3 linked regions of the Drosophila melanogaster genome follow. The protein of the gene in region 1 interacts with the protein of each later gene in a pairwise test. Each region holds a gene or a part of one and is shown on either strand. Other genes may lie near its edges.

Region 1 (4,667 bases):
GAAGCAGCTGCTCCCGAGCTGGAGGAATATTCCGCTGCCAAGAGGGAGCTCTGCTCCTCGATTTTTTCTGGATTCCACCTTCTGTCCATGTGACTGGATTCACTTATCGCCACTGGTCCTCCGCCTACAATTTAATGCACTGTTCGCATTTTATCAACTATTAGGGCGCCTAGCTGAATTGGGTTGATTTAATCGCCCACTCCTGTTATTGACATCTAATACTTTTTATGGTAATAACTGAATAACAAGAATTTTATCCAAATTGATAAAAACAGCGAATGGGATTGTTCAGCACAGCTGATAGTAAAAATGCCCGTGACTATCGATAAGTTTACCTACCATATATATAACTGAAATCGAAAATTTGAAATTCGAATTATTTAAATTCTTAAATTTTCCCAATCCTTTTTATAAATTTTTTTGAAATTGATTTTCTTATTATATAATCGTGCATAAACAGTAATTTTTGAAGATTTTTTTCAGAATAATTAAAACTCAATTTTACTTGTAGTGCTTAATAATTGTCTATGTATAAATTTATTTAAAATGTTGTATGTACAATGAATTCGGAAAAGGTACGCTCCTCGTAAAAGTCAAGTGTGTAGATAGTATTATAAACGTAATTGGAGGTCCAAGTAAATGATTAGGTGAATGTGTTGAAGGTCTGTGATTGTTCTTAGCCTATGTTAAAATTAAAACGGACTACATATAATTGCCGTCAGATTAAAATATAAAGGATGAGAAGCCAGCCCTTGAGAGGTTTAAATTGCAACAATGATGTCCGGGGCCAGCCCTAGAAATCCGCGTCCAGGGTGAACACGTTGTCCAGGGGGTTGCTGACCACTCCCATGCGCTGGTACTCCCCCACCTTCTTCTCAAAAAAGTTGGTCTTTCCATCCAGCGATATCATCTCCATGAAGTTAAAGGGGTTTTTGGTGTTGTAGATCTTTCCAACGCCCAACTCCACGAGCAAACGGTCCGCTACGAACTCAATGTACTGGGACATCAGGTCGCAATTCATGCCAATCAAATTGACGGGCAGGGCATCGGTAAGGAACTCCTGCTCAATGGCCACCGCGTCGCGGATGATCTCGATGATGCGCTCGCGCTTGGGTCGCTGCACCAGGTGTTGGAACATCAGCACGGCAAAGTCGCAGTGCAAGCCCTCGTCGCGAGAGATAAGCTCGTTGGAGAAGGTCAATCCAGGCATCAGACCTCGCTTCTTAAGCCAGAAAATGGAAGCGAAGCTGCCGCTGAAGAAGATGCCCTCCACGGCGGCAAAGGCGATGATGCGTTCCCCGAAGTTGGCCGATTTGGAGGAGATCCAGGACAGGGCCCAGTCTGCCTTGCGCTTCACAGCCGGCATCGTTTCGATAGCGTTAAACAGGTACTCTCGCTGGTGTGGATCACGGATGTAAGTGTCGATCAAAACACTGTACATCTCCGAGTGCACGTTCTCCATGGCGATCTGAAAGCCGTAGAAGCAACGTGCCTCCGTGATCTGCACCTCCTGACTGAAGCGCTCCACCAGGTTCTCGTTTACGATGCCGTCGGAGGCGGCGAAGAAGGCAAGCACGTGCGAGATGAAATGGCGCTCGTCGTCCTTCAGGCGGTGCCAATCAGTAAGGTCCTTGGACAAATCCACCTCCTCGACAGTCCAGAAAGAAGCCTCAGCCTGCACATTAAAAAAAAAAGTTACAATTTTAAAAGAGATAATTACTGTATAAATTTATTATTTTTCATTTTCCACTTTAACAAGTTTTCAAGAAATGTCATCGTGCACAACGAGCTTATCAATTAAAATGCAATTAAAATGTAAACAAAGTTACTACAAAGCAATTAAAAGCGGCGGGGAAATGTAATTGGCTACATAAAATGGTATAGTATGTGATCGTTATGTGCTGCATTTCCCGCCAAAAACGAAGGCTATTGTTGACATTGAGTAAACCGTGATGCAGTGAATCAGCGGAAAGGGAGGGTCGAGAAATGTGGGAGGGGGTTGTTTAACCAAACGAAGCTATCATAAAGTCTGATTCGTGTAATCAACCACGTTGAGTACGTGACCGGCTTTTGGCGCGCTTTATCTCGAAATGCCCGCCCTTTTGATATTTTGCCGCCCAAAAAATAGATTTTCACCACCAATGCAAATGGACAGTGTTTTGCTATATGTATGGTATACACACCTTCTTGTACATCTGCCAGATGTCGTGGTACTGGATGGGAAAGATGACGAAGCGTCGGGGATTCTCGCGCAGAAGGGGCTCCAGCGACGGGTCGAAGGGGGTTACGGACTTCTCCATGAGGGAATTGGCAGACTTGCCGATGCCATTCACGGTGGAGGACTCCTTGGCCAACTGTCCGTTTGCCTCGTGTCCAATGGACATCTTGCGAACGTTGTTGGTGCTATCCGTCAGAATCTTCTTGCTCGGGCTCTGTTAACAACGAAAAACAAAGAAGGCCAACTAAAGCATGAGTATTTTTCCGCTGCGTAGCACTTTTCCCTAGGGAAATCAACACAAGCGCACTGATCGCGGTATTACGTCTATGTATAGCTGTGAACTTTATTTGCGTGTCGATTACCTTAAGCGAGAACTTCTCCATGTTGTCAGCAATGTTTTCCTTGGACGCCATTTGAGATGTTTTTGAATGGATTATTATTAGCAGGTAGGGGCGCTTCTCTGATTCTCTGGTAAAATTCACTTAAACCACGACGTGTATTAAGTGTACAGTTTGAAAGTTGTGTGGCAAATGATCTGGGAAATACAGCTACATTGGGTTTTATGCCGGGCGGCAAACTGTTTCGATTTGCCGCCATTTTTGGTGATGGGAAAACTATGGGAAAATCAGGGCTGTCGAGTGCGTCAATTCACTTTTTATAAATTTAGGGTAAATCTAATGCAATTATGGGGTGGTAGTTTTCTTTTCTTAAACCATAAATCGAATCCTTACTGCACAATTTTATGTTTAGCTTCCCAGCTTGTCACTTGAAAAATATTAATATTAATAGTTTCAAATACTAAATAAATTTTGAAATTTTTTTATCATCGATATTTCATGCAATGAGACAACCCTAGACTAATCCAGAAAACAGCTGATGAAACGCCACTTAATTAGTTTTGAGTGAAAAAATTTGGTCCTCTTGCTACAATTAGATAAAAAATCAAGGTGAAACAAAGTTAAAATTTTTTTCCAAGGACATTGACTTAAAATTAATTTTTTTTTTGGAAATCTCGAATTATTTGGAAATGCAACAGGTGCTAACATACTCAATTCAACAACTTTGAATGAATTCCATTACAGCGAATCATGTAAATAACAGTACAATAACATAACAGCTGGCTGTTGATATTTATCGATAAGTACGTTTAATCGTGGACTTGAAAATAATAATAAACAAATCCGTTTAGTTGTAGTTTTGTTTTTAATATCCTGAATATGGAAGCCTCTTCTTCTGAACACCACAAACGTCTGGAATACTGCACTACAAGATTGAAATACCGTCAGGGCCGCGAATTGAAAGCTGTCAAGGTGGGGAAATAGTAATGTTTAGTAGTAATAGTTTAGTAATAGCTTTATAGTAATAGCAATGTTTTATTGTACTTTTATTGTGTTTTTTATCCTTTGTAGGTTTATACAGTTGCTAGTGAGTCCCGTCATTTGCTGATCTTTGGGGTACCTAAAATAAATCTTCAAGCTAATCTCAGGACGAAACTACAAGGATTTGGTAAAGTGCAATCATGTATTTCGGTAACTTCAGAGATGGCTTCAAAAAGTATGATTATCCCTGTTCAAGATCTTTTTTATATAGTGTTCCTTTTGTTTCAGTGGATCTGGAAGCTTTTACAGATGTGTTTGCCGTGAAGTTCGAGCGCCTTGAGGTGGCGAGAAGAGCCAAGAAAATGCTCGATGCTCATCAGTTCTATGGTGGAATCTTGCACATATCATACGCTCCAGAACGAGAATCCCTTGAGGAACTTAGGGAGAAGATTCAGCAGCGCAGGCACGAAGTAGCTTTTCGTATTCGAAGAAATCAGAAGGATCAAACACAAGTTCCAAAAAAGAGCCGGGAAACCACATGAGTACAGGATGTCAACGATTTATTCAACTTAACTGATTTCAATGAACTTCTAAGGCAGAACGATGTCACTCTTATTGACACAGCGTAGTGCTACTCGCTACCGCTCTATTGCCTCAGCTCCCCGTCCGTTCACTTGGCGAATCCCCAAGCCTCCTGTACTATTTCTGCTTCGTCCGGCGCAGGTCATGGTAGTAATTCAGTAGACCAATGCGCTTTGCCCATATCTGTGCCCCATACGTGGCCCAAAAGCTGTAAATTACCGTAGGATTAATAAGACAACCTGTGATGGTATAAACATACACGCCAAACTTACATGCCAAACATGGCGCCGCCCAAATGCGCTGCGTGATCGAAGAACTTCCAGCCCATCACGACGCCAGCAAAGTCGATGCCCATTAGCACTTTAATACCAGCTCCAGCGGAGAATGTCAACGCGGGTAGAAAGAGAATGCTAAGTTGTGTGTCCGGATACTGGGTGCATACATAGGCCAGCAGTGTCATTATAGCTCCAGACTAAGGGAAGAGCTTTAAGTTTATAGATACTACGTGGAATAAAGGCTGTCTTACCGCACCCAGGGACATCCCCGCC
Region 2 (4,874 bases), on another chromosome or scaffold:
CGTGACTTTTTCCAGAGTCCTTTCCACTGCCAAGTGGTGTGCGTGTGCTTTTGTGTGCCTTGCCAATTGAATATGCAGTAATTGCCTTTCTTCATTTTTGGCCATGATTTTTTGCTCGTGTCTGACACAGAAACATGGCCAGTTAAGTGCAGAAATGAATATTTATAGTCGTTACTTCTAGGATCGGACTCCGTTTAAATGCAAAGTGAACGGTTTGATTCTGCAGCCCACTCTCAAGAAAAATTGAATAATAATCAAATTATGAATAATGATATTATAAAGATAGGTAAAGATATGTAGATATAATTAACTAACATAATTTAACATTGAACAAAAAGCTGCATATGCAGCTTAAAACCAGTGATCAATATGTACATACATTGGCACTCTTTTAAATCACAGAATAGTATTTGTGAGGTACAATATAAGACCTTAAAGCAAATCATGTTTAAGAGTAACCAAACTGTGCAAGTAGAGATATAGTAACCCTTTATTATGAAATATAGATATAATTATCCTCTGACCAGTAGCGAATCTCCTAAGCGTAGTAATGCATTATCCAAGTTATCGCAAATAGGATTTGGGATTTTCATAACATTGCCTTATTCTGAAGGGGTTCACATTCCACATCTCGACTCAGCTATCTCAGCTAATGAAAACGGAGTACGCAATCGCTTCTGGCCACACACACGCATTCCATCCAGGCCGGCTAGAACAACACCTGAAACTGAGACTAAGACTAGGACCGAGATCCCGGCCAGCGATGAGCAGTAACATGGCTCGTGCCCAAGAAAAACTGTCAATTAACCCGTGGGGTGAACTTGTGGAAAATGCCAGAGCTGCTGCATCCACTGCATGCCGCGCAATTTGCATTCGCATGGCCGGGGCAAATGGATTGGATTCCTGTGGCTTCAGCTCGAGTCTGCTTATCGCAATCGCCGCCTGCCAAATGCCAGGCGATAGCGCGTAGAACTCTTGGCGCTAATAAAGATCTCAGTAGTAAGCGGTGTGAGGTGGTGAGGGGTGACATTAGGCGGTGGTGCAGGGCAGCCCTCCTGGCCAAATCCGCTGCTTTGTGAACTCAAGCTGACAGAACGCTATTTCCAATTGTGCTATTAATCTGCCACATTTGCACTTCCGCGGAAAAGAGTCGGCGGGCGGATGTGATCTCTTTCGCTCGTCAGTTGGCTGACTCGCTCTGCAGGGGTGATTTGCGGGCGAGCGAGTGAGACAGAGCGAGGCAGAGTGGTAACGCTTGGCTAACCTGAAAATAGAAACAATCGAAATAAAAATACATTCTCTTCATGCTCTCGTCTAATAAAAAACCCCAAAAGCAAAACGTTTTCCATTTAAAATGTCGTCGCAACTGCCAGCGGGAAGTGGACGTCGAGAGTGGCAAGTGTGTGGGGCAAACTCCGGCCAGCGGCCAATGGCGGTTGGCCGAGGCCACGCCCCGTGGCTCAATTACCGACCAGTGCTGCCCATCGGCGGGCAGAGCGAAACCTGTTTCCACGAGCGAGAGGCAGTCAGGCGCATGTGCGATCAGAGCGGGATGGATGGCTCAAGGGTGGACCAACCAGAAGAGGCAGGTTGCTGGTATTATGGTAGGTTAGGTTCAAACAAGGTGGCAAACTGGCTCTTAACCGAAATAGGAAGGAAGTCGGCAGCGGCGTCGACGTCGGGCAACTGGTTTGACTTGTTTCCGGCTCACTCCAACAGCCCAAACCCACCAGCAATCGGCAGAGGCAGCCAAGTCGGCAGAGGGCAGGCAGAGCAGCGGCCGTCGGCACAATTTGATTGCATTTATGAAAAGCGTTTTCGCCCGCTAGCACGCGTCCGCTCCCAGCTCGCAATTCGCCATCCGTAATCCGTAAACTTTAATCCGTAGACCGTAATCCGTGAATCCAAAGCAGTTCTCAGTTGGAATTTCCCGCAACGGGTAGTGCTTAAGCGCGGAAACTGAATTGAAATCAATCGGACGATTAGTGTGTGCTTCGCGGTTGAAACACTCTACATCTAACTATTAAGAGAAAAGAGTGCCCAATAAGATTCGAAAAGTGCAGTGAGCGAGCTCCAAATTGGCGCCACTAATTGCCAAAATGTCCAGCCACGAGGAGGATGACCATGAGCACGAGAACGAGCACGGCGAAGAGGTGGAGGAACAGGAGATCCACGTGGATGTGGACTCGGACTCGCGGATGTCATGTGGCAGCGGATCCGATGTGGATATGGACGGCGGCAGCTGCTACGACGAGTCCGAAACGCCATTGAGGTGAGAAGGAGAGCTTTTAAATAGAACCAGGAAGTAGGAAAAATGTCCCAAAAATATAGATATTATCAGTATAGATATACCATAAATAAGCAGATCTTCCAATTACAATAAGACTTCTACATATACATACATATATTATTTTTTTAACTAGATTGTGATAAAATGCTTTGGCTTCCGTACTACTTACTTAAAACTGAAGAGGCCTTTTTTTTTAAAATTCATTTTGGTAAATATTTTTCAAATATGAATAACGTCTGAATTTATGTACGTTGCAAAATCGAACAATAAAAAATATTTTTGGTTTAATTGTATCGTAAATAATCTGCTACACTAAACTTGAAAAGAGATTGCATCTCTATTAATAATAATAATGGCTTTACTTTCAAATTATACGATGTACAAACATAATAATTGGTCTGAAACAATTCATTACGGAAAATCCCCAAAAAAAATATATTAAAGAAAAAGCTCAGTTTTTCGTTTACTCTTGATGGTTATGATCATCATGCAAATTAATAAATATTTTTTTGTAAGTACTGGGCTTGATTTAGTTGGCCACATTATTCGTTAATTACTCATAAGTCAAAATTTAGATCGACAGCAATTTGATCGACTAACTGAGAGAAAAAGATCTATAAGCTATAGTTATAATAGTTGGCATACAGTCTTATTTTATTGCCCTATAAAAGTCAAACAAGTATTGTGGCGGAGAAAAGCTATTTGCATTTGTTATTACGAGCTCATAACTCCCACTGTTTTACGATCTTTAACATTGTCACTCATAATGCTCACAAATCCTATTTTTCGAATCGTGGCTCAACGCCATTGAAATGCGTTGATGTTTAAGCCCCATTGTCCGCTCTTACAAATGGTCCCATTTTCCAGCGACAAAAGGGGATAACAAGATGCCAGAGCATCCAGCAGACCGTGTTAACTGATCCCATTCAAGCGTTTGTGCGCTTAGAAGAACAGTGTGAACAAACCTCTTAAACGCTAATGAATTGACCACAAAGCCACCAAAAGAATCAAGTCGAAATGTCCCATAAAGTGCCAAAGAAACTCCCTGAATTTACATAGTTCACGGATGGCCAGGGTTTCCAATAGACGACGACGATAAAACGCACATTAGTAAGGCGCCAAAAACGGGCTGTGATAAGACATTGGGGTCCATTTGGGGCTCAATCTGGAGTTGGATCTTCGGCTTGAATGCCGGACAAAGACGAAATCGTTTGTCGGATTAACATTTTAATAGAGATCGTCATAAAAATGCCATAAAACCCGCGTTCCAGCGAATGTAGATCACCAGATAGCAGCAAGTTTTGGCCAGTGAAATAATATGTGTTTGCTCATAACTTTTGATATTGGAAAGTGTCTGTGTGTCGGTGGTTGGCGATTTGAGATCATTGTTCCGATACAATTCCATTCCTGTTCCAAATGGGTTTTTACTTTTTGGATTTATAAATTAAATGCCGTGCGTGACTTGTTTTCGGTGCGTCAGTTGATGGCATTTGATGATTTATGGGCGCGTATTAAATGCCTCTAACGGCCGTCAGCATTTGCATAATTACTTCATTTCCAGCCGCATTGCGTATACGCAGCGGTGGCCACACGGGTTCTGCATGTCATGTCGTCAACTCGGCTTATCCGCTCGCGTGGGCTTTTGGTTAGTGGTTCCGAGACTGGTACGCACTGCAACAGACTTAATTATAGTCAATGTTCTCAGGCTTTCCCGCTTATCGGGCGACACATTTTAATGAGCCCGCACCTCCAGAGGGCTTCTTTCCCTTCGATTCTGATGTCTTTTCTCCGGTTTTTATTCCCAGCGAGTCCCTGCAGTCGGAGCAGACGCGCTCCTCGTCCAGTGAGAATCTGCCCTTCAGCATATCACGCCTGCTATCCAAGCCCTTCGAGACGAGTCACCACCACCACAACAACAACAACCACCTGCTCAGCAGCAGTCCGGGCTCCAGCAGCAACAACAACAACAGCGGCGAAAAGGGCGAGGAGAAGGAGCTACTGCAGCAGGAGGACCACGACCTGGCCTATAAGCTGGCCACCAGCATCGCCAACTCGACATACGGAAGCGCCGCAGCACTATACTCGTATCCGCATCTCTATCCCTCAGCGGCCGGCGGTCATGTGCTACGTGTACCGCCCCAGAGAACGCCGCTCACCTGGGCACTACCGCCACTGCATCACGCGGCGCTGGCACATCAGGCGGTCAAGGATCGGTTGGCAGGTGAGTGAATAGCAGCGAAGTCAAGAGGGTTTGCCAAATCCAACCCATTCGGGGCCCCCATGTCGGGATGGCCCATGTTCGCCGAGATCTTTCGGGGGAGCGATCCTCCAATGACCCGCGGTGGCAATTGCTACTGTTCCCCAAATAAGCACGATCAGAGAAGACTTTTAAGGCAACATGCCTATCGGCATGTCATTGTTGGCCAACACATTCGTGCACCAAGAGAAAATGTGGCATTTGAAATAAAAGAATTGGTAACATTAAGAATAAAAATGTTATATATGTGCCTACATAACGCGTAGTTGGATGCATTCAATTGTGCAATAGGGTGTAGGAACATAATTTTAAACTTCTTGATAAAAC
Region 3 (3,210 bases), on another chromosome or scaffold:
TATACTTCTTTGTTTGAAAACGAATTGTACGACGGCGTCAAATGTTCGAATTGTCGAGATACAGATACCAATCGTGATCATGAGATTATTTTTAAACGATTTCATGTTCTTTAAGAAATAGAATGTATAGCTCCGATTGTCTCAGACAATATGTCAGGGAATAGATAGCAGGTGGCTATAAAATGTCGAACGTTGCGTTCCAATCGCATTCGGTATTAATCACTCGAACAAACCACAATGAAAGCAGGTGAGTTTCATTGATGACCTCACATCGCTGAAACCATTGAGATGCCAATAGCGGAATTCTGTTTCAGCTTTAGTCCTTCTCTTCCTGACCCTCTGCGTTGCCATCTACGCCGACCTTGACTGCAATCCCGATGGCAATGGTGAGCCCGATTGCGTGGGACGCTCCGGAGAGATTTCCCGTGACTTCTGGGATCCAACCCACTACTGGCAGTGCTCTAGCACCGGACAGGCCGAGCTAGTTGCCTGCGAGCAGAACACTGGATTCGATCCGAAAACTGGAAGCTGCGTCGATTGGAGCGTTTGGCAGTGGTATCCTCCATGTTCCGAAGCATCCACTTAAGCAATAAACTTCTCTTGCAGTTTATACGTTTTTCATTAACTTTTTTTGGTTCATTTGTAATGGTATTTAACTGGGAAGATGGGCTTGAATGAAGTCTAGAATATATCTCTAGATTTCTCGGATCTTTATCGAATTTTTAACAGAGTATTTAATGCTTGAAAAGGTTAATGTTCCGGGTGATTATCTCGTTGGGAAGTGTAAAAAAAAGGGTTAGTCCGAGGAGGAATTAAATAATTGATCTCACAGACTATTAGCCCTCGAAATGTACAAGTACGCAACTTGCATTTTCTCCATTTTCGCTTTATGGAACTTTTGGGGCGTCAGTGCCAAAAAGCAGGATACTTCCACAGGAACAAATGAATTGCCAAAAGCACCAATGCCGTATTATACAATCGAGAATATTGATATGCACCAGCAGCACTGGTTTACCTACAATTCGCTAAGACAAAATGGAACTTTGTGGAGAATTGGTAATATGGAGCAACGCTTAGAAATGCGATTGCAGTCCTTTCAAAACCAGATGGAAACTAAACTTCGGGCTCTAAAGCAACAAATTGAACCCTACATGGAAAACGTTAAAATGTCCAACAAAATCAAAATGTCCGTATTCAAGAAGATTGGCTCCCGGCACTTTTACTTAGAAAAGCAAAAGAAGATGCCCTGGGATAGCGCATACGACACGTGTCGTCAAATGGGCGGTCACCTGGCGAATATCCTCGATGAGAAGGAGCTGAATGAAATATTCTCAGAGGAAACCAAAAAAAAGTACTGGGTAGATATCAACAGCCGTGCCAACGATGGAGCGTCCTGGATTTCTACACTATCCGGAAGGGATGTACCATTTCTGAAATGGAAGCCAAATCTGGCCACAAATATACATAACCATTGCGTGTATATCAATTCCAATGAAATGTACTTTGAAAATTGTGCCAATGATAACTATTTTGCTTGCCAAGCCGAGCAATGGGCCTGAATATCGAGCATTGATTTTTAGAACTATTTTAAACTTTAAATGTGACTTTGATAATAAAGGTTTAAAAATTGAACTCCTTTAAACTTTAATATGTATTTTTTTTAAATCATCAAAATTGCAATGTGTCTTTAATAATAAAGCTATTAACTTTAGGCATTTTATATTTTTTTTTTTCAATACACCATAGTAGATTTTCATTTTTTTTAATTTTTCCAGCCTTTTTGCTTTTCACAGTGATGCTTTAAAACGGTTACATTATCATTAAAAAGCGTGACAAAATTAGTTGAGCTCATTGGAAGTTCTTTAGCCAGATTGGATCTCACACGCTTGAAATCTTCCAAACTGGACATGTACGCATCTAACCTCTTATACCTGTTGGCATTATGGAACCTTTGGGATCTCAGTGGTGGGCAGCAGGACATTCCGAACGGAAAGGCTACATTGCCAAGTCCACAAACGCCGCAAAATACAATCGATCAGATTGGTATTAACCAGAATTATTGGTTTACATACAACGCGCTTAAACAAAACGAAACATTGGCAATTATTGATACAATGGAAATGCGCATAGCAAGTAGCTTGCTGGAGTTTAAGGCCCAGATGGAAATCCAGCTTCAGCCGTTAAAGATTATAATGCGACACCATGCATCCAACATCAAAGCGTCTAACAACATCAAGATGAGACGATTCGAGAAAGTTGGCTCCAGACATTTTCACATCGAGAAGAATCTAATGCAAACTTGGTTTGAGGCATATGTCACATGTCGTAAAATGAACGGTCATCTGGCGAACATCCAGGATGAGATGGAGCTGGATGGCATCTTGGCGTTAGCACCCAACAATAGCTACTGGATAGATATATCCAAACTGGTTGAAAATGGCGGCACATTCGTCTCCACCCTAACCGGACGAGAACCCTTCTTTGTCAAATGGAAGAGTAATCAGGATACAAAAAAAAAGAATCAATGCGTTTACATCTATGCTAAAGAGATGTCCTATGATGAGTGTTTTGAAAAAAAATCTTTCGTTTGCCAAGCAGACCAGTGGGCCTAAACATAAAGAAAATATTGTTTTGTAGCTTGAATAAAAAAAAACAGCTCGTTTAATGATTTTATTGTATATGAACACAGTGTAGACAGGTCTGCACTGAGTATTATTTCCAAATTCACTCATTCAAGCTATTTGCAACACCCACAAAATTTACCAAGTTTCTTAAATTGTTTGTTCTTCGTTTTACTTGTGAATTTATCCACTTGCTAGGAACATGGTAAAGAATACAGGTGTTGATTTGGGACTACCCGTGGCTAGTTGGTATCGTGGTCTATCGCTCGATCAGATGCAGGCGGCCGATGAGCTGGGAACGGCACTGCAATTCGATATTAGGTCCATTCGGGATTGTCTGCTGCGCCTGGGAGTGCAACCTTTGATCAGAAATCGTGAACTCCATAGAATTTGGCGTTTCAGTCGTGGCCAGAAACTGGCCTTTCTCTACTTTCTATTCCAGGAGCACTACGACACCGGCACTTCGTGCGGAAAGTACTCAGTTAATGGACAACTTCTGCTCTCGGCCATCGCCTATCTGGATTTGCCTGCAACTTTTCGAGCTCTAGACAAAGTGCTACCTCTACCCGGTGTTTTATGTGGGCAAACC

Evidence for each region. The genes of interacting proteins can lie anywhere in the genome.
Region 2: the proteins of RnrS (region 1) and C15 interact in a two-hybrid assay, tested with the Drosophila melanogaster proteins (one large-scale study listed by BioGRID).
Region 3: the proteins of RnrS (region 1) and Acp29AB interact in a two-hybrid assay, tested with the Drosophila melanogaster proteins (one large-scale study listed by BioGRID).

What each region holds. Positions count from the first base shown.
Region 1 is NT_033778.4:11,982,636-11,987,302, forward strand, and holds RnrS (ribonucleoside diphosphate reductase small subunit), read right to left. Parts: upstream 2,759-4,667; 5' UTR 2,632-2,758; coding exon 2,581-2,631; intron 2,433-2,580; coding exon 2,184-2,432; intron 1,676-2,183; coding exon 794-1,675; 3' UTR 510-793; downstream 1-509. Other genes in the region: GalT1 (beta1,3-galactosyltransferase 1), read right to left, coding at 1-89; CG34231 (uncharacterized protein), read left to right, coding at 3,436-3,528, 3,628-3,772, 3,826-4,079; rho-7 (rhomboid-7), read right to left, coding at 4,237-4,327, 4,392-4,591, 4,646-4,667. UniProt on the Drosophila melanogaster protein: Provides the precursors necessary for DNA synthesis. Catalyzes the biosynthesis of deoxyribonucleotides from the corresponding ribonucleotides.
Region 2 is NT_033777.3:21,498,159-21,503,032, forward strand, and holds the start of C15 (C15), read left to right. Parts: upstream 1-1,827; 5' UTR 1,828-2,099; coding exon 2,100-2,272; intron 2,273-4,095; coding exon 4,096-4,511; intron 4,512-4,874.
Region 3 is NT_033779.5:8,391,909-8,395,118, reverse strand, and holds Acp29AB (accessory gland protein 29AB), read left to right. Parts: upstream 1-1,896; 5' UTR 1,897-1,907; coding exon 1,908-2,612; 3' UTR 2,613-2,663; downstream 2,664-3,210. Other genes in the region: Peritrophin-15b, read left to right, coding at 238-247, 315-586; lectin-29Ca, read left to right, coding at 849-1,559; CG42820 (uncharacterized protein), read left to right, coding at 2,824-3,210. UniProt on the Drosophila melanogaster protein: Responsible for physiological and behavioral changes in mated female flies.